6 linked regions of the Coturnix japonica genome follow. The protein of the gene in region 2 binds, or shares a complex with, the protein of the main gene of each other region. Links are inferred from orthologs where the notes say so. Each region holds a gene or a part of one and is shown on either strand. Other genes may lie near its edges. The genes, in order: LSM8, SNRNP40, PPIL2, CWC22, AAR2 and LSM5.

Region 1 (3,992 bases), on a different chromosome or scaffold from region 2:
TTTTCATAGAATCAAAGAACAGCTTGAGCTGGAAGGGACCCCCATGGACCAACAAGTTCCTTGTTGATCCATGGGCAGGACCACCAACCTTCAGATCTGGTATTAGACCAGGCTGCCCAGGGGCACATCCAACCTGGCCTTGAAAACCTCCAGGGATGGGGCATCCACAGCCTTTCTGGCCTGTTCCAGTGCCTCACCACTCTCTTGGTAAAGAGCTTCACCTGACATCCAATCTAAACCTTCCCCCTCTGAGCTTTTTTTATTATAAGGGTAAAGTCAAAAGTGACTTCCCATGAATATCCCTTGGAACTGGAAATAAAAATTCTTACCTGTGCTGGCAAGAACAGAATATACATATATAAATGCATATATAAATCATAATAATATATAAAAATAATACATATATATTTTTTCCTGGTATATATGTGTGTGTGTGTGTGTGTGTGTGTGTGTGTATACACATATATATGTTTTCAGAATGCTGCTGCAAAATTCATCTTCCTGGCAGGCCCATTTACTGGAGGTTCTTTCCACCGCTCTCACAGCCTCCCCATATCATCAGCTCTGCATTTAATGAGCTTTTCTGCTCATTGCATCATGGCATTTGACATCAAATGTCAATTTACCCCCTCAATCTGCTGCTACATCAGTTTTAACTATCAGTTGCTATACTGTCAAGCCTAAAACTCAGAGCATTTTTTTTTTAAATATGAAGCATTCCCTTTTCCTCTAATGCTTATCTTAATTCTCCCTTAATGTCCCTAAATAAATCCTATTAAAAGTTAACTTTGTGTACCGGATTGCTAATTTGTTGCACATTATCTCTGTCTTATTATATGTACATTCTTTTCTCTCTTCATCTGTTAACAGATTCTGCCATACACAGACTGGAATAAAGTACATCTACACAATGCCTAGACTTAAAGAAGAAAAATGCTGCGTTTCATACTGACCTTTCTTCACATTGTTATCATTGTGTGACCTGGTTAATTTACAACTCAGGTATTCTAGACCAACAATATCATAACAATACAATGCAATCACTTTTGCAAGAGAAGCATAGTTACTTGATACTTCATATGTCTCACCTTTAATAGCTCTAGCAGAGCTATCCATAGATAGGAAGATATAAGATGCATGACTGCACATGCATATAAATATATATATATATTATATATGCACACAGTGAAATTTTTTATTGGTTTAAACAAAAACATGCTCTACTTACACATTATCACCCCTTACGATGTACAATCCCAGCACTACTTGCTCAACTCCTTGTGAAGAACTGAACACTCGTTCATGGCTTTCATCCAAAATCAAGTTAATGGTCTGATCAAAACCTTTGAGGGTTCCCTGAGGGGAAAAAGATAAGCACACAATAATAAAGTTTGTTAATTGCCTTTTAAATTTATATCTTCACTCTCACCAATACCTTAAACAGCAAAGTGGCAATATTAAGATACTAGAGAACAGATGCTCTTTTTAGGTTCTAATGTCAGTCTTAAACACAAACAGCTGGAGAAGAAAACTTTGAAAATGGTAATCAATTCAAGCAAAAAGTATACAGTGCTCATACTAAAAGCTACACTATTTGGTACAAGAGATGAAGTTTTATTTCCTTCCTCTAGACAGCTGACTGTACAACTTTTAGTCTTCCTTGTATGGAAATTTCATAGTCATAGAATGGCCTGGGTTGGAAAGGACCGCAATGATCACCCAGTTTCAACTCCCCTGCTACGTGCAGGGTTGCCAACCTCTAGACCAGGTTACCCAAAGCCACATCCAACCTGGCCTTGAATGTCTCCAGGAATGGGGCATCCACAACCCCAAAACCTCCAGAGATTCAACATTAAAAATAAGGTCAATGAACAGAACAGTTAGATTCTGGGCATGGCTAGGCTGGAGTTAACCTTCCTCACAGCAGGAGGTTAACCTTCCACACAGGGCTGTGCTCTGCACCTGGCACTGTGACAGTGCCAATAGCACCTCAGTGCTCTGGCTGTGGCTGAGCAGCACCAACATCACACCAAGGCAGCATCCAAGCCACCTAACGCCAGCAGACTGGGGGCAGCAAGGCACAAGAGGGAACACAGCATTGAACCAAACTGAACACAGTGTATCCCACACCACATGACGTTATGCTCAGCCATAAAAGCTGGGGAAATGGCAAGAGAAGGAAGGACTTTGTTGTGAAATTGTCTGTTCTCCCAAGAAACTGCAAAGTGTCCTGAGACCCTGCTTTGCCCCCCAAAATAAATGTCTCACCACAATCATTCTTCCATCAGAAGTTATTACTGCGACAGTACCTGACAAGAGTTCATTAAGGAAGCAATAAGAGATATCTGAAATAGAATCATTAACATTCTCTGTAACATGCACGTGTAATAAGCTCAAGAGTCAGAATTAATTACAGAATCACAGAATGACCCGGGTTGGAAGGGACCTCAAGGATCATGTAGTTCCAACCCCCCTGCCTGGCAGGGCCACCAAACATACACCTTTACTAGATCAGGTTGCCCAGGGCCCCGTCCAACCTGGTCTCGAACACCTCCAAGGACGGGGCATCCACAACCTCCCTGGGCAGCCTGTTCCAGGGCCTCACCACTCGCACCCAGCCCGCCCTCTCTCTGCCACCCGCAGCCCATCCACTCGGCAGCAGGATACGGTTGATGTAGTTCTCCAGGGCCGACGTCATGGCGGCGGCTCCCGCGCTTCTCCTCACAGCGGTAACGCCGTTCCCGGCCCCGCTTCCGTCGCGCTCCGATGACGCTCGTCCGTCTGAGCAGCCACACCACCCCAGCACGAGGGCGGGACTGGGCTTCAAAGGGAGGAGGGGTGAGCAGGATGTACCAAGTGCGGTGAAACTGTGGTTTAAGTGCTTGTCCAGCAGAGGGAAGTCGTGGCCTCTGGTTGTATTACGAGTTCTCATAGAACAGAAACCCAGATGCTGTGAATAAGCAGCCTTGAGCATCTGTTTTCTCTCACTGGTTCCGATCCTTTGAGTCCTGATTTTAGGTGTAGGAATTCGGTACCTGTGTCTTAGCGTGTCACTAAAGGGCTGATGATAGCAGGACACGGGGAAATGGTTTTAAGTTGAAAGAGGGAAGATTTAGGTTGGATGTTAGGGGGAAGTTCTTCACTAGGAGAGTGGTTAGGCCCTTGAACAGGCTGCCCAGGGAGGTTGTGGATGCCCCGTCCTTGGAGGTGTTCAAGACCAGGTTGGACGGGGCCCTGGGCAACCTGATCTAGTAAAGGTGTATGTTTGGTGGCCCTGCCAGGCAGGGGGGTTTGAACTACATGATCCTTGAGGTCCCTTCCAACCCGGGTCATTCTGTGATTCTGTGATTATGCTCTCATGTAGTTGAAGAAACAAGGCATCTTTGTAACAAGGCTTGTCCTTGTCTAGCTTATCACTTGGTAATAACATTTACTCCTGTAATTAAACCTTTTTCTGCAATTGAGTCTATATACTTTAAGGTTTCTGTAGTGATTACTGTATTTTATGCTTTCCACAGAAAATATATCTAACTAATTGTGCCCTGGGGTGTCTCTGCTTATTTTCCTGCTTCCTCATATTCTGCCAGGGCAGGAAGGAAAGCCTGCAGTGATACTTGTAGGGTGTATTTGCAAGCAGTTACTGTCTGTAAACTTGCTATCTAGCCTCGAGCTTGCAGAACAGATGAGTGGATGATCTGTTGCTGCTGTGTATTGTTTATCTCTTTTACATTTCCTCAAACACAACAGCTTCTGGTGGCTTTGCTCTCCTTAGTTATCAAGAAATAGGTATGTTTTATAGACCTAGCCATGCTAAAGGCTGAAATGGCTTTGTGGAGTCGTCGGGGGGTGAAAGGCCCGCCCAGTACCACTCTACCGAGCTCAAACCTTGTCAGATCTGGTGGAGAAAGGTACAACACCTACTCTTCCTTGAAAGCTGAACCTCTAATGTAATGCTCAGACTGTGAGGAGATTGAAGAAATTCCTTGTAAAAA
Region 2 (3,500 bases):
CTTCACCGTGTCAGGCTGCCCACACTGGGACCAGCCATGAAGGAACAGGTATTCATCACCTCATGCACTGCTGCTGCAGCCCAGTGGGACTGGAAAGAAGGGTCATGTCTCAGCTGCCAGCTGTGACAGCTGGCCCCACTATATCTGCACAGTATGAGCTAAAGCTCTCCCTGTCGTCTATCAGAAGCTCATTAATTTGCTGATTACTGCTGTTCCATGCCTTGGACTCCGGCCTGCAGGAATTCCTGTCTCCATGTCACTGAGAGTGCACCTGGATCTGCTCCAGCAGGTTGGTATCCTTCGTGGCGACCTTCAGTGTCTGGCAGGGACCCTCTGCTGCCCTCCTCCCTCTGCCCAGTTTACCCTTTGGTTATCCAGTCTACAGAAGCTCTCATTTAAATAAGTCAGATATGTGCTAATTTAGTCAGAACTTAATTTCCTCACACCTGTTAATTAAGTAAGGATCACAAACGATCCTCGAAACGCCACTGGTGCTCCCTGCTAGCTTTGACTGATTCTGGTGGTCATTATCAGCACAAAATGCAGCACTCTGCAGCAATCTGCCAGAATCTTTGCCTTTGGAGAAGTCTCACAAGAATCTGCTGCTATGACTGCAAGAGACCTCGCATGCTGCCAGCTACGCTCCCGTCATCTGCTTGTCCATCTGTTGGATGCAGTGACTGAACACAAGCAGAAATGGAGCTCTCTAGAAGGTTTCTGACAACAGTAATAAGGATTTTACAACCATATAGTGCTCCTCCGCTGATGCAAAGGCAATATGAACACATCTCTGCTACCATTGCTGCAGACAATGCTCACAGATTACCACAGGGGGTTGTTTGGGTCTTCACACCTCCATGCACAACTCTGGCTCTTCATATTCATTTTAGAGACTATCCAGGCTCATTTCAGCAGTGATTGCAAAAATGGTTTGGCATTGACAGTAACAGAGAAACACGGTGATAACTCACCTGTCAGCAGATCCCCCTGCTATCTTACTCCCATCTGGAGACCAGGAGCACCTCAGAAGATTCTAAGACAAAACAAAACAATAGGCACAGTTCCATTTCCGAAGAAGATTTAGCTTTTCCCTTCCAGTTCAAGTAAAATCACTATGAGACTTTAAGTATCAAGAGCACTACTTTAATGATCCCTCTTCAAAAGATTCTCATCAAGTAATTAAAGATTTTGTTTTATTGTTGGAAACATCCAGTGCCTTGTTATTTTATACAACATGTGTAGAAAATACTTCATTTACAGCTAATTATAGCCAAAGTGAACAAAGAAATTTTGTTACTACAGCTTTAATTGGAATCTCACTTTGTGCGTTAATGTTTCTTCGAGTCCTTATTAAAGTCTCACTGGTTAAAACTTTAACTTCCCTGTAAACTGTTCTTTAAGTTCATGTGGCAACGCTGTATAAATGAGTGTTTAGGTCTGTAATACACTCACCTTTTCAAAATTATGCACATTCCCCTGGAAGATCTTCACACATCTCTCTTTTGGGGCAAACGGTCGCACATCCCAGATGCGAACTGCAACAGAGCACACAGTAATTAGCAGGAGATACCAGAACTACAGGGGCAAGGTCAGCTGCTAATGATCAAAGATCTGGTTGCATTCCTTGTTCTTTTCATGCCCGTTTCCTTAGCTAAAGGATACCAACAGCCTCCCGCTGCAGGAAGCTGTGATATGAAAGGTAAAATGCAGTAATTTATAATTACATTAAGACCACTCCCAACAGGAGGGGAAAATTCCAAAACAACTACTACACAAATGAGCTACTGTCTCCTCACATGAGCATTTGCTTTATTCTAATACACTTCATGATCATACTTCTAATCAGATCAGCTTCACTGAGCACCCATACGCAGGAGATGAGCAGTCTGGAAACAGCACTGTCATTCCCTGCTGCAGGGAAGCAGCTGAACCACTCTGACAAAAGCCAGACCAAGATTATGTTCAACTGCCTGTGCAAATAACTTGTGCCACAGCCCATGTCCTCATTGCCCTTTGGGAGACGTGACAAACCTTTCTGATACAGCTGCTCCTTCTCTACAAAGGATGTAACTGTCACGGTTCAAACAAAGAGAACTGAAGGTTTCTCTGCAGACCCTGCCTGCATTCCGCCCACCTGACTCTCCTATTTTAGCACATTGACCAATTTCAGCTGCTCCTTCTGAAATACCACACACAGCTCTTCAAAGGCAGAGGCTGACAGTTGTCTGCACAGCTGTGCTGTCACATTTGGCAGGACATACCTGTGTTATCCATTGCGTTAGAGAGCAGGTAAGAACCTTCTGAACTCAAACTGAGGCCTGTCACTGAGTCTGCATGTCCTCTCATCGTGTACGTGAGCTTGTTCTGGCGAAGGTCCCACACCTTTCAGACAGCAGAGACAAAATTGTGGCTTAGAATGGACAGACAAGACTATTAGCAATGCTCTTTCCAATTTCATGCAAGTACTGATCAGCCATCTGATGAATAACTTTCCACTTGCAGTTGGGTAAGGTCTGAATGGCTAAAATATAAGGCTATAAAGTTATGTGTTGTCCTCTAAAGGGCAAATTTTCCCCCCCATTTCTTACCTAACGTGTCCAACCACATCAGCAGAAAATAGTTAAATTTCAGCAGCTGATGTACGCAGGATTTCCTTTCAATCTGGCCTAGCTCCCTCAGCTCCCAAATTCCACTGACCCATGGCACAGAGGAGCAGTTATCCAGTCTTCAAAATTTCATGCTGTTCTTTCTCTATGAGTTACTGCCATTCAAAGGGCAATTAGAAGTGAAATCATTTCAGTGCTACGCTTAGTGGTGGCCCTCTGACAAGTATGTGCTCCCCATGCCTAGGTAAGACTGGAGACTGAGGCCAAAAAGACAGCAAGGCTGACTGAACTGTGAAGCTATCTGGAGAATCTCAGCTACCAAGTGAATGAACACTGAGCGTGCTCTTAAATAAGAACTTTCCACAGTAGCAGGTGACAAAGTAAGTTATTGAAGCAAGGGTCAGAGAACATGGATGTGTCACCAAATTTTCTTTAGCGTACAACATATATGGCTCTAGAGCCTCTGTGAGGGGCACCAGCTGCCAGAAGAGCTTGCATACCATATCAGTGGCAGTGTGTGACGCTAAGATGCATGGCCAGTCACATGGCAGACAGCCCTGGAACAACTATCTCAGAGTTTTCTGGCCTTAGATCAAGACACTGTGGGTCAGTGCAGTTCTCGTGACAGTAAAATTAACCACATTTGTCCTTGACCAAGGCATTTTGCGTGCTGCTAAAGCAAATTTTGATGGGATGGAAAAGGTGAAGGTGGTTGGAAAGAAGCACAAGGACACAAGCATCATACCTTAATATCGTTGTCAATGCCCCCAGATATGATCTGATCACTGGTGTCATTAAAGGTTACAGCCAAGACTTGGTAAGTATTCTGAAATGTCTGGACAGCAGCTTTTTTCCTGATATCCCACAGCTGAAAAGACATTGTGTTGTAAAACT
Region 3 (3,500 bases), on a different chromosome or scaffold from region 2:
GGCTTTTTTTTGATGCAGACAGCTTGCAACATAGCATTAATACACGATGCACTATTAAAATACTGACATTGCCGTTTCTGTTATTTCCGTGTTTAGATTCTGTTGTCATTAATTTTCCTCATGCTTCATTTTCTTTAGAAACTAGATGCCAAGTCCCTTATAAAGCTGAATTTTGCTAAGAACAGTGAAGGTAAGTATGTTAACTTTCTGTTCTTGTTGGCTTGTTTCTTTCTTAATGAATGCTGCAATAAATCCCGGTTTGCCTGACTCCCAGTGAAGTGTCATAGAATCCTCTCTGCTCATGCTTGTCCAGCAAAATGTTATCAGGTATAGCAGTCCCTTCCACTTCATGATCCCTTTTTGGTGGAGCTCAGCATCACCTCAGGCTCTGTGCTTTTGCTAGGAGTGGCATCGTGGTGGTTTGTTCTTTTTGCATGTAGCTGGAGCAAGGCCTTGCATTCATTGGTGTCTTTGTGCACCCGTCAACTGGGCCGTACCCCGCTGCCTCTCCTAGATGGCCCTGTTTAAACTTTCTCCTTAGTGTGTCATTCATGTTCAACTTAGTGACATCAGCAGAAATAGTGCTCAGCTGCTGCTTGCTTCTCCACGTTGGAGATCAGTGCCTCCTCTGGACAGTCCCTTGATCGGTGAATACTCTGCAGGTGCTTCCCTTCCTGTCCCTGCAGGTGCTGTGAGCAATCTCTGTTCTGGCCTCCCTGCTGGTTTGATTTTCAGATGGTAATTAGGACAAAAAGAACAAAACGGGCCCAACCTATTTCAGAATCTCACCCAAACACTCAGGTCTAGCAAAATGATCAAGTATTGACAACATCCTTTAATTGCTTCTGCGGAGCTCGTCCCATCGTTTTTCTTTTTCCTCCTACACTGGCTCCCATCAGTGTGCTTGTTATTGACATGCTTAATATTTATGTTGACCCTCCTGGGGAAAATTCACAGCTTGGTGCGAGCAGAAGCTGCGTTCCTTATCGAATAACGTGCTCAGATTTAATGGCATTCTGCTTGCCACATTCAAATGCAAAACACTCCTCTCTGAAAGCACAGCAGTTGCTATGAGCTTTCATTGGGTGTGAGCTAAACTTCACTTCTGGGAACAACACCAAAAGTAGAGTTCTGGGTGTGTTAAGGTACAGGCCCATGCTCTCAGCAGAGCTTTAATTACAGCAATAATGGTTCTAATGTGATACTTCATTGATACCGTGTGTGTTGGACAAAGCTGTGCTGGGAGACTGAGGGCAGCACGTTTCAAAGCTGCTCTTTCATTGCTTGGTTTATAATTCTCTGAAGTGTCACTTTTCAGTTTTGTTTCCTCTTTGGCTCTGAAGAATCAAAGCACAGTTGAAGCACCATTACCTACACTCTGAATTTACATTCAGTGTTAGAAAGAAATGTGAATGTCCTTTGCAGAAAGAACAGAAATCAGCTATTTTGAATTAGTTGTGATGGCTCCATGCTAAATCCACCCTTTTTTCCTGTCCCTCAGGTAAATACCACTGCCCCGTGCTGTTTACTGTATTCACCAATAACTCCCATATTGTGGCCATCAAGACAACGGGAAATGTGTTTGCCTATGAGGTATGTTGTCTGTCACGTTTTGATATGAGTCATTTACACTTTAGAATGGTAGGTAGGCTTTGTTGTGTCTTACAGCCAAGGAAAGGAAGAGCAGGGAGATGGACTGGCCTCACAAACTGCTGGCTGACTTGTGGTCGATGTCAGCCCTTTGTTAAAGCCACCTGTCTCCTACCGTCTGTGAAATACTTATCCTAGAAAATTCAAGGATTTGGGGTTTATTTTGGCAGTACTTCTGTGGTGAATTTGGTTAAAATTGTTTTTAAAAACACAAGGAAAACCCGATGACTTTTGTAGGGATTGAATGGCTTTTCATCTTCAAGCATGCAATGAAAACATTGCAGCTGCCAGTTAAGAAAGAAGTGCACAATTATTTTATCGTAGCGCTTTGTGAGTGGCATCGTGTATTTACTTGCAGTGTGTATGTATTAGAATTCATTTGTTCATACCTGTATCTTTCACCGGGCTGTCAGGCAGTTGAGCAGCTGAACATAAGGCCAAAGTGCTACAAGGATCTCTTGACAGATGAGCCCTTCACCCGGCAAGACATTGTGACACTGCAGGTAAGCTGCTCTCTCCATTACGTGTCTAATAATCCAGGTGGTGTTGCTGTTCTTTTCTCAGAAGGTGGAACGTTATGGATATCCTGTATTTGTGCTCTATCACTGAGTGAGTAGAGAGGCATTACTCTGGATTTGTTCCTGCAGAGGAGGGCAGAAGGGGAACTGCTCTGTTGTCTTTATTACCCAGACGAGCCACAAAGATATTGTATAACATAAAGGCTGATGCACCTCTACACTGACTTCTGTGTGCCTTGTAGATAAGTAGAATGCTGAACTTTAGAAATTAAAAAAAAGGGGATGGTGCACAACAAATGTCAGGGATGGGATGTAATGTGAAAAGGTGAATTTGGGCAGATGCTTTTGCAGTTGTTTGCTCGCTGTTTCCCTGAATACAAGATGTGTGTAATCACAAGTTTTAATTCACATGAGTGAATAAAAAATATTCCTTTGTGTCAGGATAGAGAGCTGAAGGACTGTGAGCAGATAATGGAAATATTCACTCATCTAAAGATACTTTGATACGTTTGCGAGGTTCAGGATTGAATGTATACATGCTCTTCTCAAATAAGATCAGAAAAAGCAAATCTGTCCTTATTTTTGGGGTTGGACTGGAAGAGATTCTGACCATTTTCCATTGAACTGTATGACGCCTGCTGCCAACCTGCAGCCATACCTCAATTTTTCTTGTTCTACTCAAATGCCACCCAAATCCAATGCGCAGAACACGACCTGAAATGGTTTGGCTCCTGGGTGTTAAAGTATCTCTGTGTATTTGGTGTAAGAACTTGCTGTGATTTTCTTCATGTAAATTGTCAGGAGACAAACCAGCATCTCCTTCCTCAATCCTCTCGCTGTCAGCATTGTGTGCAGTGTGTTGGCTTCGCCCTGCCAAGCTCTGCCACCTGTGGCTTTGGTTCTTGGCCAGACTTGGTGACTGCAATCTGTTGTGTTTCAGTTTGTAGCTCCAGAGCTCTGTCCCAAATCCTCCTTCTCTTACAAAAAACAACCTTTCGATTCTTTGGCGTTTATTGTTTTTTGGTTTTCCCATTGCCTCCTGTTCGCTGAGTGCTGTGGTGTCTGAGGGCGCTGGGATTGGGAGTGAATGGGAAATGCTGACCCAGCTGTCTGTCCGAAAGATAAATATAAAGAAAGTTGCTATAAAAACGTCCTTTGCTTTGCAAACAACAGCTGAATGGGACTGTCTGTAATAGCTTTGTTTATCAATAGAAAATGATGTTTCCAGAGTCTGACTGTGAGTGCTGCAGGAAGCAGGTGAGGTACCTGTGCTGGGCAGTGCAGCAGATGATGGATGGGAGATCTGAGTCATGTATGGTCACAGATTGGGCC
Region 4 (3,213 bases), on a different chromosome or scaffold from region 2:
AAGGGAAGGGTTACTCTCATTAAATTAGCTAAGCTCATACAACACAACAATTATGAAACACAGGTAATTTTTAATACCCTTAGTAGATTGCTAAGAAACAAACAATAATCTCTAGCACAAATCTTTCTAAAAAGAATTACTTCAAATTAACTTTTCTAGGAATCAAAGTACACTACCAAAAACACACAGTTAGCCTGGAAAAATGAGAACTGCACTGGGAATAGAAACAAAACCAGAATTTAAATAAGACATTCCTCATGATACCACTAGAGCATTTATGGCTGTGTGGTGCAACACAACAGAAACGTTCATTTTTCTCTGCAGTGTCTCTTTATTTTCTCTGCTAGTATCTTTGAAAACATTTCAGTGCATGAAAACTGGCAGAAACAAATTCTGTTAAACACAGAACAGAAATCCAAAGCATCATTTTTCTTAGAAAAAGATGTTGTGACAACTTACCCCAACCTAATCTATTTCCTTAGGAATTGCTCTATTTGCTGTTATAGAACAGCTCAAGTGTATTTTTATAGCCTTCTGCATACAGTGAAATACAACGTACACATGAAATCTGTATATTTTCATGTGCCCAACAATTATGTTCATTTTGCAAAGGGAAAAAAAAAGGTTTTATGGCACTAACAGTTGGGTTATACATAACTGTCATTCCTGCCTTTTCTACTGACCATGGCCACGCTGATCATGCCAAAAGACTTTCTGAATTTGCCTTTGTTAGTGATGACATTAAATCTTAACCACAATTCAGATTTGTAAGTCAAACAATGAATGTTGCACTAGTTCTTCAAATGATTCTACACAGAACAACTTCCATACTATAAACTGCTCAGGTGTTGTTTTTTTAGTAAAACTTTGCTTCCAGTAAATTTGAGCACTTTAAGCCATGCAGTTCAAAGCATATAAAAAGATTTAATATCTTTTGTTTCACTGTTTTTAAAATATACCAGGAAGGACATTCCTTAAACATTTCCCACAGAAATACACCTGAAGTTTACAAATTACTTCAAATCAGATTCACAGTTGAAAACATTTTTTCCTCCAAGATCACAAGCATCACTGGCTTAGGATGTTACAACATTAAAAAACACTGTGAAAAGTAACACAGAACAAGTTGACACAGTTTCAAAATGTGACATTTAAAATAACAAAACTGCTGTTCTGATTTTTAACTCTTGAAAAAAATAAACGAAGGTTTTCCTGAAAAATTTTGGTCCAACTTACTTCCACGTTTATGAAGATGAAAGAATATAACTGTAGAATGCACAGTGCTCATGCTCAATTCCTTTTAAAAAGCCTTCCCATGCATCATCGATACCGTCATCTGAGATTCTTAGATTCATTACGTTAGATTCAGCATCTCTGATCTTCAATTAACCAAAGTTAAAACGCAATGTTTTTGTACTAGAAAGTTACAAATACTTGAAATTAAGTGACAAGAACACCCATTTTGCTGAGATCTTAACTGTTTTATTCACAAAATAAACAACTTCATCTTCCCAGAGGATGAATTCAACAGAAAGACTCAAAGTAACAGTTATAAAAAAGCAGTACTGAAAATTTGAAAAAGTCTGATAAAATTTACAAATGCAAACTACCACTTTGTACAAAATCTTTTTTAAAGAAAGTTTAGTCATATTTTTTAAAATACAGTTTTAACAGCTCAGAAATACACATTTATTTCAAACTGCTTAGGTCTTATTTTCGTCTGTGTGGGGAATTCTCCCTTCGTCTATCCTCATATTTTCTTGATTCTCTGTACTGGTCAGAGTAATGGTTGGACTTCTCTCTGAGTCTCTCTGAGCCATTTCTGTATCGGTGGTCTTCTTCCTCCTCCCTTGGACTTGACTTGTTATAGGATCTCTCTCCAGACTTAGATCTTTCCCTTTTTCTACTCCGATGTCCATTATCTCTGTTCCCATGTCTATAACTTTCATCGTCAGAAAAAGAAGCTCTTCTTTCTGCTTTCTTCAGTTTTGAATTACTGTGTTTATTTTCTAGATCCTTACTTCTCTCGTGGTTCCTATCCCTTCCACTATGGTAATCGTCTCTGCTATTAGACTCATCCCTCTGGTGGTATTTTGATACGTCATCTCTCCTATGCACTTCGTAATCACCTCTGCCATTAGATTCATCCCTGTGATGATATTTTGATGTATCATCCCTCCTACATGCCTCTCTCATATTTCGGTGATTTCTTTCTGACTTGCTCTCACTATCACTTCTGTCCTCTTGCCGTCGCCTTCCCATTTTCTTTTCAAGTGATTTCTTTTTCTTTTCTTGCTTTTTCCGGGAAGCTTTATCAGATTCTCTATTTTTCTTTTGTGTTCTTCTTCTTTTGGCTTTGGAAGCATCTGAAATTACAACGAATTATGGAAATAAGGTTCTATTTTAATCAACTATTTGATTCATTAAGCTACACCAAAGGTTATATAGAAACACATTAGTGGAAAAACACTCCAACTTTCGTTGTTATACATTTGGCTGCAAGTTACAAAAATATGAGCTCTGCTTCTATCCCCCCCCCCATCAACCAAGGATTTTTTGCAATGGGACAAAATTCACCCATTTATCTGGTTGAATTACAGGCCTCATATTTTAATGTGAAAAGAAATTCTCCCTTGAAGTGTGAGTTGATTAACAAGCCCAGAGCTACATTATTAGTCTATGCTTCAGCATTTATCAGCACCTTCACTGTTACTAACACACGAACCTCACGAGAACAACAAGCAAGGTTACACCACATCCACAACAGTAAAAACAAGAAAATATGATGTTGTGGAAGTCTTCCACATTTCACCCTATTTACCATGACCACGCAGTTATCAAGAACATGACACATTGCTCCAGCTCTAACAGAAACCAAACTTCTTCCTCAACTTACAGAACATACAAACAAACCTGCACTTGAAAACAGAGTATTACTAAGCAGTCACATAAATGGAGTAACTCAAACCCAAAGAGTGACGTGTTGAACAAGAATCTGACATAACATGTAGGCTGTGAAGGAAATGCCTTCATATTTTACATGCTATGTACTGACAAAACTCCAACAATCAAGCTTCCCCCCTCATCTACTAATTTGTAACTGTGACACTTGCAAGGCTTTTATCCTTTATCTATCTGGAAGTGATGCCCGAATTCTTAAAGCCTGTATGCATCATCATCTTTTTATTGACTTCCTACAGAAAGACCAGGCAA
Region 5 (4,267 bases), on a different chromosome or scaffold from region 2:
TACCCTAACTCTAACAACCCTCTGCTAAATCATATCCCTGAGCACCACATCCAAATGGCTCTTAAACACATCCAGGGATGGAGATTCATCCACCTCCCTGGGGAGCCTATTCCAGTATTGCTGATCTATCAGCAGTTGCAGTGACTGGGAGTGACTTACAGGTTTGCCCTTGCCTGTCTCAGCACCAGCAGTGTATTTCTGCTGTTTGGACTGACCATAAATCCCATACAAACAACAACCTGATTTCAGGAAACCTTCACGTTTGCATAAAGCAGGCAGGAGCAGAAAGGCTTCTTATATGTTATCCATACCTTCAGCTCAGTAAGATTTAGCTGCAACTTCCCTGCAGGCTGAGCACACCATCCAAGCTGATCAGAAACCACCACCACTCTTTTACACCAAGCCACGTGTTTTTAAACGAATGGTATTTGGAGGGGAAAAAAACTGATCAACAAACAGACACCACTTTGCACTCGCTCAGCCCCTCTCGGAGATGTTCAGCTTCACACAGCTGAAAGCCCAGATCACTTTTAAAACAAACATGCTGGTTCCACCCAGTCACGTCAGTTGTCCCACTCCAGAACTCCAAACCTGCACCAATGGACCAGATCACGGTCAGTGCTATCTTCAAGGAAAACACAATAGAGAAGACTCAGGCCTCACTCTGTGCTGCAGCTGTCAACAGCCTCTCCCCTCAATACCTCACTTTGCTGGCACGTGCGTGCGGACCAACTCCAGTCCACGGTGCTTTAAATGCTTGATCTGCTGAAGGCAATAAATGCTCGATGTGCATTGGTAGATCAAGCTCATAGATGACAAGAGAGGTCATTTCTGTGTGAGCAACGCCAGGAAAAAGTAAAAGGAAATGTCAGTGTGCCCTCACGGAGGACACAGGCTCCCTATCTCTGGCAGACTCAACAGCAGCTTACTTCCTCTTGAAGCTTCTCTCTGTATCTGTTTCAATGCCCTGCATGCCCTGCATTCTGACTCCCATGGATCAAGAGAACGCACAGCCGTACCTGCAAGGTGCTGGTCAGAAAGTTGTCCTGGGAGACGATGTCCACAAAGAAATCAGACGGGATTTCATTCAACTGGTGGTACAGGACAAAGATGAGATTGGCATAAAGGTCCTGATACTTTGCAATGGCAGCTTCAGAACGGCACAGGATGTTTAACAGTCTTTTCCAGTGCTCAAATGCATCGTATACATTCCCAATCAGGAAGCAGATAAAAGCAAACTGCAACTCAGCTGCAGGTATTCAGAAAACAAAACAAAACAGGTAAACCGAGGTATAACCAAGGCACACATCCTCTAAAAAGCTCTGCAGATGACTGCATAAACTGTAGGTTTAGCTTGGGCATATAAACAACCTTCAGCCCTCTAAGTGACTCTGCAAATGGCGATCAATACTGCCAACACCGATTATTTCCTAATGCTCTGCTCTTCTCCCATCTGGAGAGAAAGCACAGTGTAACCGGGCAGGGCTCCTAATTGTGGCTGCCAGCTCTGCAGGGCGGTGCTGCTGGCACTGAGTGAGGAGCTACAGGAGCACCTGCAACACTCACAGGTGCACAGACCTGCACACAGCCACTGCCGGCGCCCTGCAGGCGTTCACCTCCTCCTGTACCACGGCTTGCAGGCGCTGCCCCCAGACGCAGGGATGAGAACAACGGAGGTTGTGAGCAACGAGTGTTTGTCTCTTTTTCAGAGCCAGGACTCAGCCTCGCCAGGCGCTTCTCACCAGCCAGAACCGGTGGCTCTGAAGATTGTTACCTGCACCCGATGCGATCACCTTCGCCTCCCCTCCAATCGCCCGCAGGAATTCTGATAACGAATGACTCGTGTAACACGACAGACCACGTGAAAAACAAACGCTCACAACTCAGCCCAGCCGGGCTCCCGGCCCCTCCACATTCAGCACCCGCCCCCCGGCACGGCCACGGCCGGAGCTCCGCCCGGGGCTGTCCCCGCCGCGCACTCACCGAGCAGGTCCTGCGGCCGCCCGGCGTAGCGCCGCGCGATGACGTTTTCCAGCGCGTAGCTGAGGTCCATGCAGTGCCTGGTGATCTCCTCCGGGCTGGCTCCCTCGGGGTACGTCCGCCGCGGCAGCTCGGTGAAGCGGATCTCGGTTCCGGCTCTGGGCCGCATCTCGGGCAGCCTGGCCACGCCCTCGGCGTAACTCCCGCACCCCGCGTCGTACGGCGGCAGCTTCTGCCCCGCGCGGTCCCGGCCGAGCCGCCCCTCCCGCACCGGCAGCACCTCGGAGAAGGCGCAGATCCGCCCGCTCTCCGGCCGCAGCCGCTCCACCGCCGCCTCGCCCACGAAGCTGCTGAGGGCGATCCACTTCTTCACGGTGTCGTACGGGTACGGCCCGAGGAACGCGTCCATGTCCCGCAGGTCCCTCCCGAGCGCCTCCTCCTCTCCCGGCGCGTCCCGCAGCTCCTCGCTGCCCGGCTCCCAGCGCAGGGCGCGCACCTGCCGGGGCCGCAGGCAGAGGAACAGCCCGGCCCGCGGTCCCGTCTCAGTGCCGCCGGCGGACCGGGCCGCGCTGCAGTGCACGAAGTGCACCCCGGGCGGAACCATCTTGACGCCGCGGAAGCGGGGCCCCACGGTCCAGCTGCTGTAGTCGATGCCGAACTCGGTGCCCTCGGGGACGCCCAGGACGATCACGGCGGCACCCTCGAAGAAGAGCCGCTTGGCCAGCTCCGGGTCGGCCCGCAGCCCCGCCATCATCGCGGCGGGCGGACAGGGCCGGAAACGCGCGGTCCTTCCTCCGCTCTGCGCCCGGGCCGCCCCATGCGCCGCGCACGAACGTTCCGGGCCGCAACTCGTTCCGCCTCCGCGCGGTCCCGGAGGCCGGGGAGCCCCGCTGCGCTGCGGCCGCTCGACGTGACGCCCCGACAGCCGAACCTCTGCTTCCGTCCGGTCTCCACACAGAAGCGGTCGCCCTCCGCCCCCATTAACCAACGGGTAATCCTTCACGATTAACAGTAACACGAAAGAGTAACCCTCAACCGCAACCCAAAGGGGGACCTTAGCCATGAACCAAAAGTGTAACCTTTAACGATAGCCCATATACTTAGCCTTAACACAAAAGGGTAACTGGTAGCCCAAACTGGTAACCCCAAGCCGTTCACTGTAACCCCAAATGAGTGAGCCTTCATCCTAACACAAAAGGAGAAACCTGAATGCTTAACGCTAACACAAAAGGGTAACCGTATCCATAGCCCAAAATATTAACCCGTACTCCTCAATTCTAACCAAAAAGGGTAACTCAACCCATCTCCCAAAAGGGTAACCCTTAGCCCTTAATACTAACCCTAAGCTGTAGCCCTCAAACATATCCCAAAAGGTAACACTTAATACCCAACCCTAACCAACAATGGTGACCCGCTTAACGCTGACACTAAATGGCAACCTCCAACCCCAAAGGGTGACCCTACAGCCCACGGCAGGACAGCCATGCAGCATCACCACCAACCACCACGTACAATACCTATGGGGGACAGCCCGCTATGCAGCCCCTGCATGGAGCCCCTGTCCCCATCTGCGCATCCTCTTTGGTGGGAAGGAGTCTGAAAAGGCCGCAGAGCTGGTTTAGCCTCAAACACATTTATTTCACTTTTATTGAATACAAGAACAGTGAGCACACACGCGTACACCACCGAGCACTGAAAAGGAGCATGACTGGAGGGGGGAGAAGAAGAATAAGGGAAAAGGGGAGTTAGTGAAGGAACAGCAGAGCACTGCAGTTGGTTGGTAAGGTGCTTTTCAAATATAAACATTATTGTTATTGTTACTGTTACTATCACTCATGCAATTGCAGGCCAGGTTTGGAATAAATCTGTGGGATCGGGTAAAAACAGGCACTCATGTCTCCCGCCCCTTGCAGCAGAAAGGCCCCTGGAAGAAAACACACCATGCTGAGCTGCCCCAGCCTGGCAGGTTGGTTTCATCCTATTTGTTTGTTGGTGCTTTTATTTATTGTCGTTTTCTAATTGAAATGCTGTCGCCCATTAAACAAGCTGTAAAAACCACAGAATGGGGTCCGCTCACTCCAAATATAACTCGTCTGAATCCACGCTCAGGTCAGCTCTAACTGTATAAGGCCACTAGTTTGAGCAGTAACCTTCCTTTTGATAACTGTGCAGGTGATGCCAAAAGCAGGTGCCTTAGCTTCAGAGTAGCAGCGGGTGGCTGTAAGAGTATGAAGGCCATGTGAGCTCCTCTGAGTATAAACCACAGTGTGCCGAGGAACAGTGAGCG
Region 6 (4,142 bases), on a different chromosome or scaffold from region 2:
ACGCATATTTAGCAAAACCCAGCCATGCTTCTGACTGGAGATCCTGCGCCTTTTTTAAGGGCACATGTTACAACTGTGCCATAAAATTACTGAATCTGACTCAAAAGCACCCTGGGTCTTTCTCTTTTGGAAGTGTGCTGTTCATTATTAAGAAAATATAAATGATTTTTATCTTTTTTCCCCTTTACCTTTGTTTACCTTTTTAATATTTCCTTTTATATTTACTCTTAAGTCTTTTATTCACAGGAAAATACTTTGCTGGCTTGTTTCCTACTGTCTATAGAAAGGTTTGGTCTTACATGTATACATATAGCGGCTTTGCTTATCACTAAAAGTCAGGAAGAGCAAAAAAGCTTCTCAGCATAACAATGGTCTGGAGAAGAATCAGTTGAAGAAATGCTTCTTGAAATGCTCTTAAAAACAAACTGTAGAATTTCAAGATTCACCTTGGAATGAGTAACAAGGACAAAAAAATGTATGTTCTTTAGGAACTCCTTTGTTAAAATAATATAAATAATAATAATATAAAATAATTATTTTACCCACACAAGAAGTCAGAACATGCACAATGCATTAAAGATGCAGAACAATAACCGAAGCAAGAAAAGGTTTTGAAATTAAGTCAAAATAGCTTTTACTCAGAAGGGTGAGATAGCAATATGGGGATTATTCCCCATTCACACAGAACAGATAGACTCAAGTCAGCCTTCCACTTGTCTTGTTAACAAAATCATGAACTGCCTTATGCAGGAAGTCCAGATTTTGCACCCATCTGTGCAGGAAAGCAAATGATGTACTGTGAGTCTGCTTTTGTGGTAAAGTATCTACAAAGATGCAGAATTCACTTAGTGATGCTCAACTAACTACAGTATTGTTTCAGTACTGATCTATACACATCAGCGAGTAACAACCAGAAAGTGCTTCTGATTTGTTATAGTCCAACAAAACTCCACCTTATTATTTTTTTCCAGAGCATCCGGCATCACATGATAATGATTAATAATAGTCAAGTAACTTAACAAGCTTATAAGTATCTGAGCTGCTGCAAACACACCTATACATAATGGATGAACTGCAGATGTATCCCAACCCACAGACTTACACAGACACTCATGAGTCAAAAGCCACTTTGTCAACCAAACTCGTCCAAAGATTCCCTCACACACCTTATGAAAACCAAAAAAGCATATACCAAAACTATAGTCATGCCCATGCTCCTCTTTTCATGCATTTTAAACCATAAAATATATGAAATATAGCAATAAGATCACTTTCCCAGCATCATTCATAAACCATATGCCTTAGAAACTACTCAAGTAGTTGAATTCAATCAGATTTACAGGTAAAGAAACACAAGCAGACTATTTACAGTGATGACTTACCATTGTTATATTATTTCCATTTAGCAAAATCTGGTCTAGTTTTGTGATTCTTCTGCCTTCAGGTGTGATCTCACTGAAGCAATATTAGAAAAAAAAATATGAGCATGCAATCATCAACAATGAATAAAGTTCTGATTACAGCACCAATGCAAGTCCACATATTAAGATGACATTTACTGGAAATAACACTGCAACATCATCTTGATGCACTGACCCACTAGGCAGGGAAAGCTACCTGGCAACTAAACAGATTTGCTGTATTTTTTTGTTCAGCATATAAAGACACAGATTTGCCCTCTAAAACTTGGCATTTTTTTCAATAACAATTCAAAACTGCTCAGTTTATAAGTATCTGTGATAGCACAGACCTTATACCGCATTCTTTCTCAGGAAACCCAAGTCTGAATAGCAATGAGAGACAAAAATAATACTTACAATTCTGTAACATCTTCTAACACCATATCTGAAAGCTCAGTTTCAAGGAAAATAAGGCCCAGATTTCTTTTCATAGAACTTGAAGGGACTGTAAAGCCCACCCAGTTCCAAATACAGAGCAACCCCTGCTGCTGGTAGGCTGCACCCACTAGATCAGATTGCCATGGGGCCCATTCAGCCTGGCCTTGTACACCTCCAGCAACAGAAGCATTTGATCATCTTCACAGCCCACCTCTGCAGCTGCTCCAACAGCTCTGCATCCTTCCTGTGCTGGGGGCCTCACAAGGGCAGTATAGAGATGGGCAATTTATTTTACACCAAACTGTGATTTTAGCGATAAAAAAACAAACAAAAACCACTAACGAGCAAAAAACCGATACCAAACAGCTTAATGTTCTTAACAATAAACGAAATGATTTTCCCCATGAAGCTAATGGCCACAGATAACACCCACCAAAGGATACTGACAAAGTCATCAAATCCTAGCAGAGTTCCAACAATTTCCTTATCGCTCTTCATCACGATATGAATGCGAGAACCTATACATTTGTCCACAAGCTCTGTAGATGTTAAAAACAACAAAAGTGCATTAGTGTATTTGCAGGAAATCAATCAGCCCAGAGGTACCCTCCATCATCTCCGACCGACTGGAAACAACAGCAACGCTACACCCGGAGCACGTATTCCCTCAACACGAAGAGGGGTGAATTAATTTTGTTACATCCCGATTTAGTTTCTCGCTCATAGATCCCGATTTAGCCCCTGTTGCAGCCTCTCCCACCCCGGTCACAGCCTCCCTCCCTCCCCGCCCGAGCCCACGCGAGAACCCGCCGGCAGCGCTGCCCACCGAGCGGCAGGAGCTGCGAGGGGTTGGTGCTCGCGTTGGCCGCCATATTGCCGCCAGAGCTGGCCAATGGCTGCCGCCTCCTGAGGAAGTAGAGGCTGTGGCGGGCGGGACGCAGCCCTGAGTAGCGGCAGGCAGAGCGCTCGTTCTACCGCCGTGTTCTCCTTTGGGCTCCGACCGCAATGGGAATTCAGTTCCGCTCCTGTTTATACACACTGCCATGTCAGGTGGCAGCCTGTCTGACTGCCCTTCTGCTGCCATCGGTCACAAGGCAACAAAGTATAATGGAATATAACGGCAGGAAGGTGTAGCCCCTACTGCCATACCAACATCCACCTCTGATGTCATGGGCCAGCATAATAAAACAGGAGGCGTTAGTTTGAGAGCAGCTCTGGTATATATGGCTGAGTTTTTATTGGTATCTATTAGATATACACTGAGAAAGAAAATTCCAGCAGGATTCTTTTATTTCTAAGAGCTTCTGCTTGATTGCAGCTCTACCCTTCCTTCTTATCATTCGCTTGCTAGTTCTGGATTGTTCCTTATAGCCTATCTTTTGCCCCCTAATGTATCTAATTTTAATAAAACCAAGCACTTTCCTATATCAGTTTCATCGCACGCTCCCGCTCGGCGCCCACCGCACAGAGCACAGAGTGGAGGGCGGGGCGGGCCGGGACACAGCGCGGCTGGGGGCAGGGCGAAGGGGAAGAGGGCGGCCCCGCTCCGCCTCCCCTCGCCGGGCTCTGCGGAAGCGCAGTCGGTTGGGGTCCGTCCCTTCGGCCTTCGGCACCAGGAGGCGGAGCGACAGCCCGGCCTGGGCGGTATCCTCCGGAGCGGCCATCGCCGGGCTCCATGGAGAAGCGGGGCGCGCCGCCGGCCGCCCCTCCGCGGGGCCCGGTGTTGCATATCGTGGTAGTGGGCTTCCACCATAAGAAGGGCTGTCAGGTGAGGGGTGTGAGCGCTGGGCCCCGGGAGCGTGCCTCTGGTTCTGGGCTGGGCGCTGCCTGCAGCGGGCTGGGGGCCGGTTACGAGCCCCTTGCTGCGATCCCCCGCCGGTGCGGGCTGTGGGGGGCCCGGGGTCGGGCTGGAGCGGTTCCGCGGGGCTGTCTGGAGGGGACGGGGCCACCCAACAGCTGTGCGTTACCGGCGCTCAGTGTGTCTTCAAGGCCCGCTGTGTTTCGTAGGTATTCTGTGCTCTCGTTGCGTTTCCTCCTTTGCTCTCTAACTAAATCTTGGCGAGGCTGTTGCAGGAATGATTTATTTATTTATTTATTTGAGACTGAGTATATAAAATGCCATTTGATCCAATCAAACGACTGGTATTCAAACTCTTTTCTTCAAGTCTTACATCAAGAATTACATCTGGCATTTAAACTCCTGCAGTCATTCCACGTTCTGTGACTGGGCAGTATCTAGAAACCTGAGGAAACTGTGTTTTCTACTTTGGAAGGCCGTGCTGTGGTCAGGAAAGCAAATAGTTT

What was found.
Region 1: SNRNP40 (region 2) and LSM8 share a complex: the UniProt entries of both Homo sapiens proteins name them as parts of the U4/U6-U5 tri-snRNP complex. The link is inferred for Coturnix japonica from reciprocal best matches to the Homo sapiens genes SNRNP40 and LSM8.
Region 3: SNRNP40 (region 2) and PPIL2 share a complex: the UniProt entries of both Homo sapiens proteins name them as parts of the minor spliceosome. The link is inferred for Coturnix japonica from reciprocal best matches to the Homo sapiens genes SNRNP40 and PPIL2.
Region 4: SNRNP40 (region 2) and CWC22 share a complex: the UniProt entries of both Homo sapiens proteins name them as parts of the minor spliceosome. The link is inferred for Coturnix japonica from reciprocal best matches to the Homo sapiens genes SNRNP40 and CWC22.
Region 5: SNRNP40 (region 2) and AAR2 share a complex: the UniProt entries of both Homo sapiens proteins name them as parts of the U5 snRNP complex. The link is inferred for Coturnix japonica from reciprocal best matches to the Homo sapiens genes SNRNP40 and AAR2.
Region 6: SNRNP40 (region 2) and LSM5 share a complex: the UniProt entries of both Homo sapiens proteins name them as parts of the U4/U6-U5 tri-snRNP complex. The link is inferred for Coturnix japonica from reciprocal best matches to the Homo sapiens genes SNRNP40 and LSM5.

What each region holds. Positions count from the first base shown.
Region 1 is NC_029516.1:21,853,723-21,857,714, forward strand, and holds the start of LSM8 (LSM8 homolog, U6 small nuclear RNA associated), read right to left. Parts: upstream 2,801-3,992; 5' UTR 2,699-2,800; coding exon 2,668-2,698; intron 2,310-2,667; coding exon 2,269-2,309; intron 1,357-2,268; coding exon 1,229-1,356; intron 1-1,228. UniProt on the Homo sapiens protein: Plays a role in pre-mRNA splicing as component of the U4/U6-U5 tri-snRNP complex that is involved in spliceosome assembly, and as component of the precatalytic spliceosome (spliceosome B complex).
Region 2 is NC_029538.1:602,876-606,375, forward strand, and holds part of SNRNP40 (U5 small nuclear ribonucleoprotein 40 kDa protein), read right to left. Parts: intron 3,475-3,500; coding exon 3,352-3,474; intron 2,383-3,351; coding exon 2,262-2,382; intron 1,536-2,261; coding exon 1,453-1,535; intron 1,034-1,452; coding exon 972-1,033; intron 1-971. UniProt on the Homo sapiens protein: Required for pre-mRNA splicing as component of the activated spliceosome. Component of the U5 small nuclear ribonucleoprotein (snRNP) complex and the U4/U6-U5 tri-snRNP complex, building blocks of the spliceosome.
Region 3 is NC_029530.1:477,567-481,066, reverse strand, and holds part of PPIL2 (RING-type E3 ubiquitin-protein ligase PPIL2), read left to right. Parts: intron 1-138; coding exon 139-190; intron 191-1,501; coding exon 1,502-1,593; intron 1,594-2,063; coding exon 2,064-2,153; intron 2,154-3,500. UniProt on the Homo sapiens protein: Has a ubiquitin-protein ligase activity acting as an E3 ubiquitin protein ligase or as an ubiquitin-ubiquitin ligase promoting elongation of ubiquitin chains on substrates.
Region 4 is NC_029522.1:13,114,576-13,117,788, reverse strand, and holds the end of CWC22 (pre-mRNA-splicing factor CWC22 homolog), read right to left. Parts: intron 2,367-3,213; coding exon 1,711-2,366; 3' UTR 501-1,710; downstream 1-500. UniProt on the Homo sapiens protein: Required for pre-mRNA splicing as component of the spliceosome. As a component of the minor spliceosome, involved in the splicing of U12-type introns in pre-mRNAs. Promotes exon-junction complex (EJC) assembly.
Region 5 is NC_029535.1:173,929-178,195, reverse strand, and holds the start of AAR2 (protein AAR2 homolog), read right to left. Parts: upstream 2,801-4,267; 5' UTR 2,735-2,800; coding exon 1,984-2,734; intron 1,250-1,983; coding exon 1,020-1,249; intron 1-1,019. UniProt on the Homo sapiens protein: Component of the U5 snRNP complex that is required for spliceosome assembly and for pre-mRNA splicing.
Region 6 is NC_029517.1:78,884,366-78,888,507, reverse strand, and holds the start of LSM5 (U6 snRNA-associated Sm-like protein LSm5), read right to left. Parts: upstream 2,801-4,142; 5' UTR 2,711-2,800; coding exon 2,665-2,710; intron 2,378-2,664; coding exon 2,282-2,377; intron 1,846-2,281; coding exon 1,818-1,845; intron 1,456-1,817; coding exon 1,383-1,455; intron 1-1,382. Other genes in the region: late secretory pathway protein AVL9 homolog, read left to right, coding at 3,514-3,606. UniProt on the Homo sapiens protein: Plays a role in pre-mRNA splicing as component of the U4/U6-U5 tri-snRNP complex that is involved in spliceosome assembly, and as component of the precatalytic spliceosome (spliceosome B complex).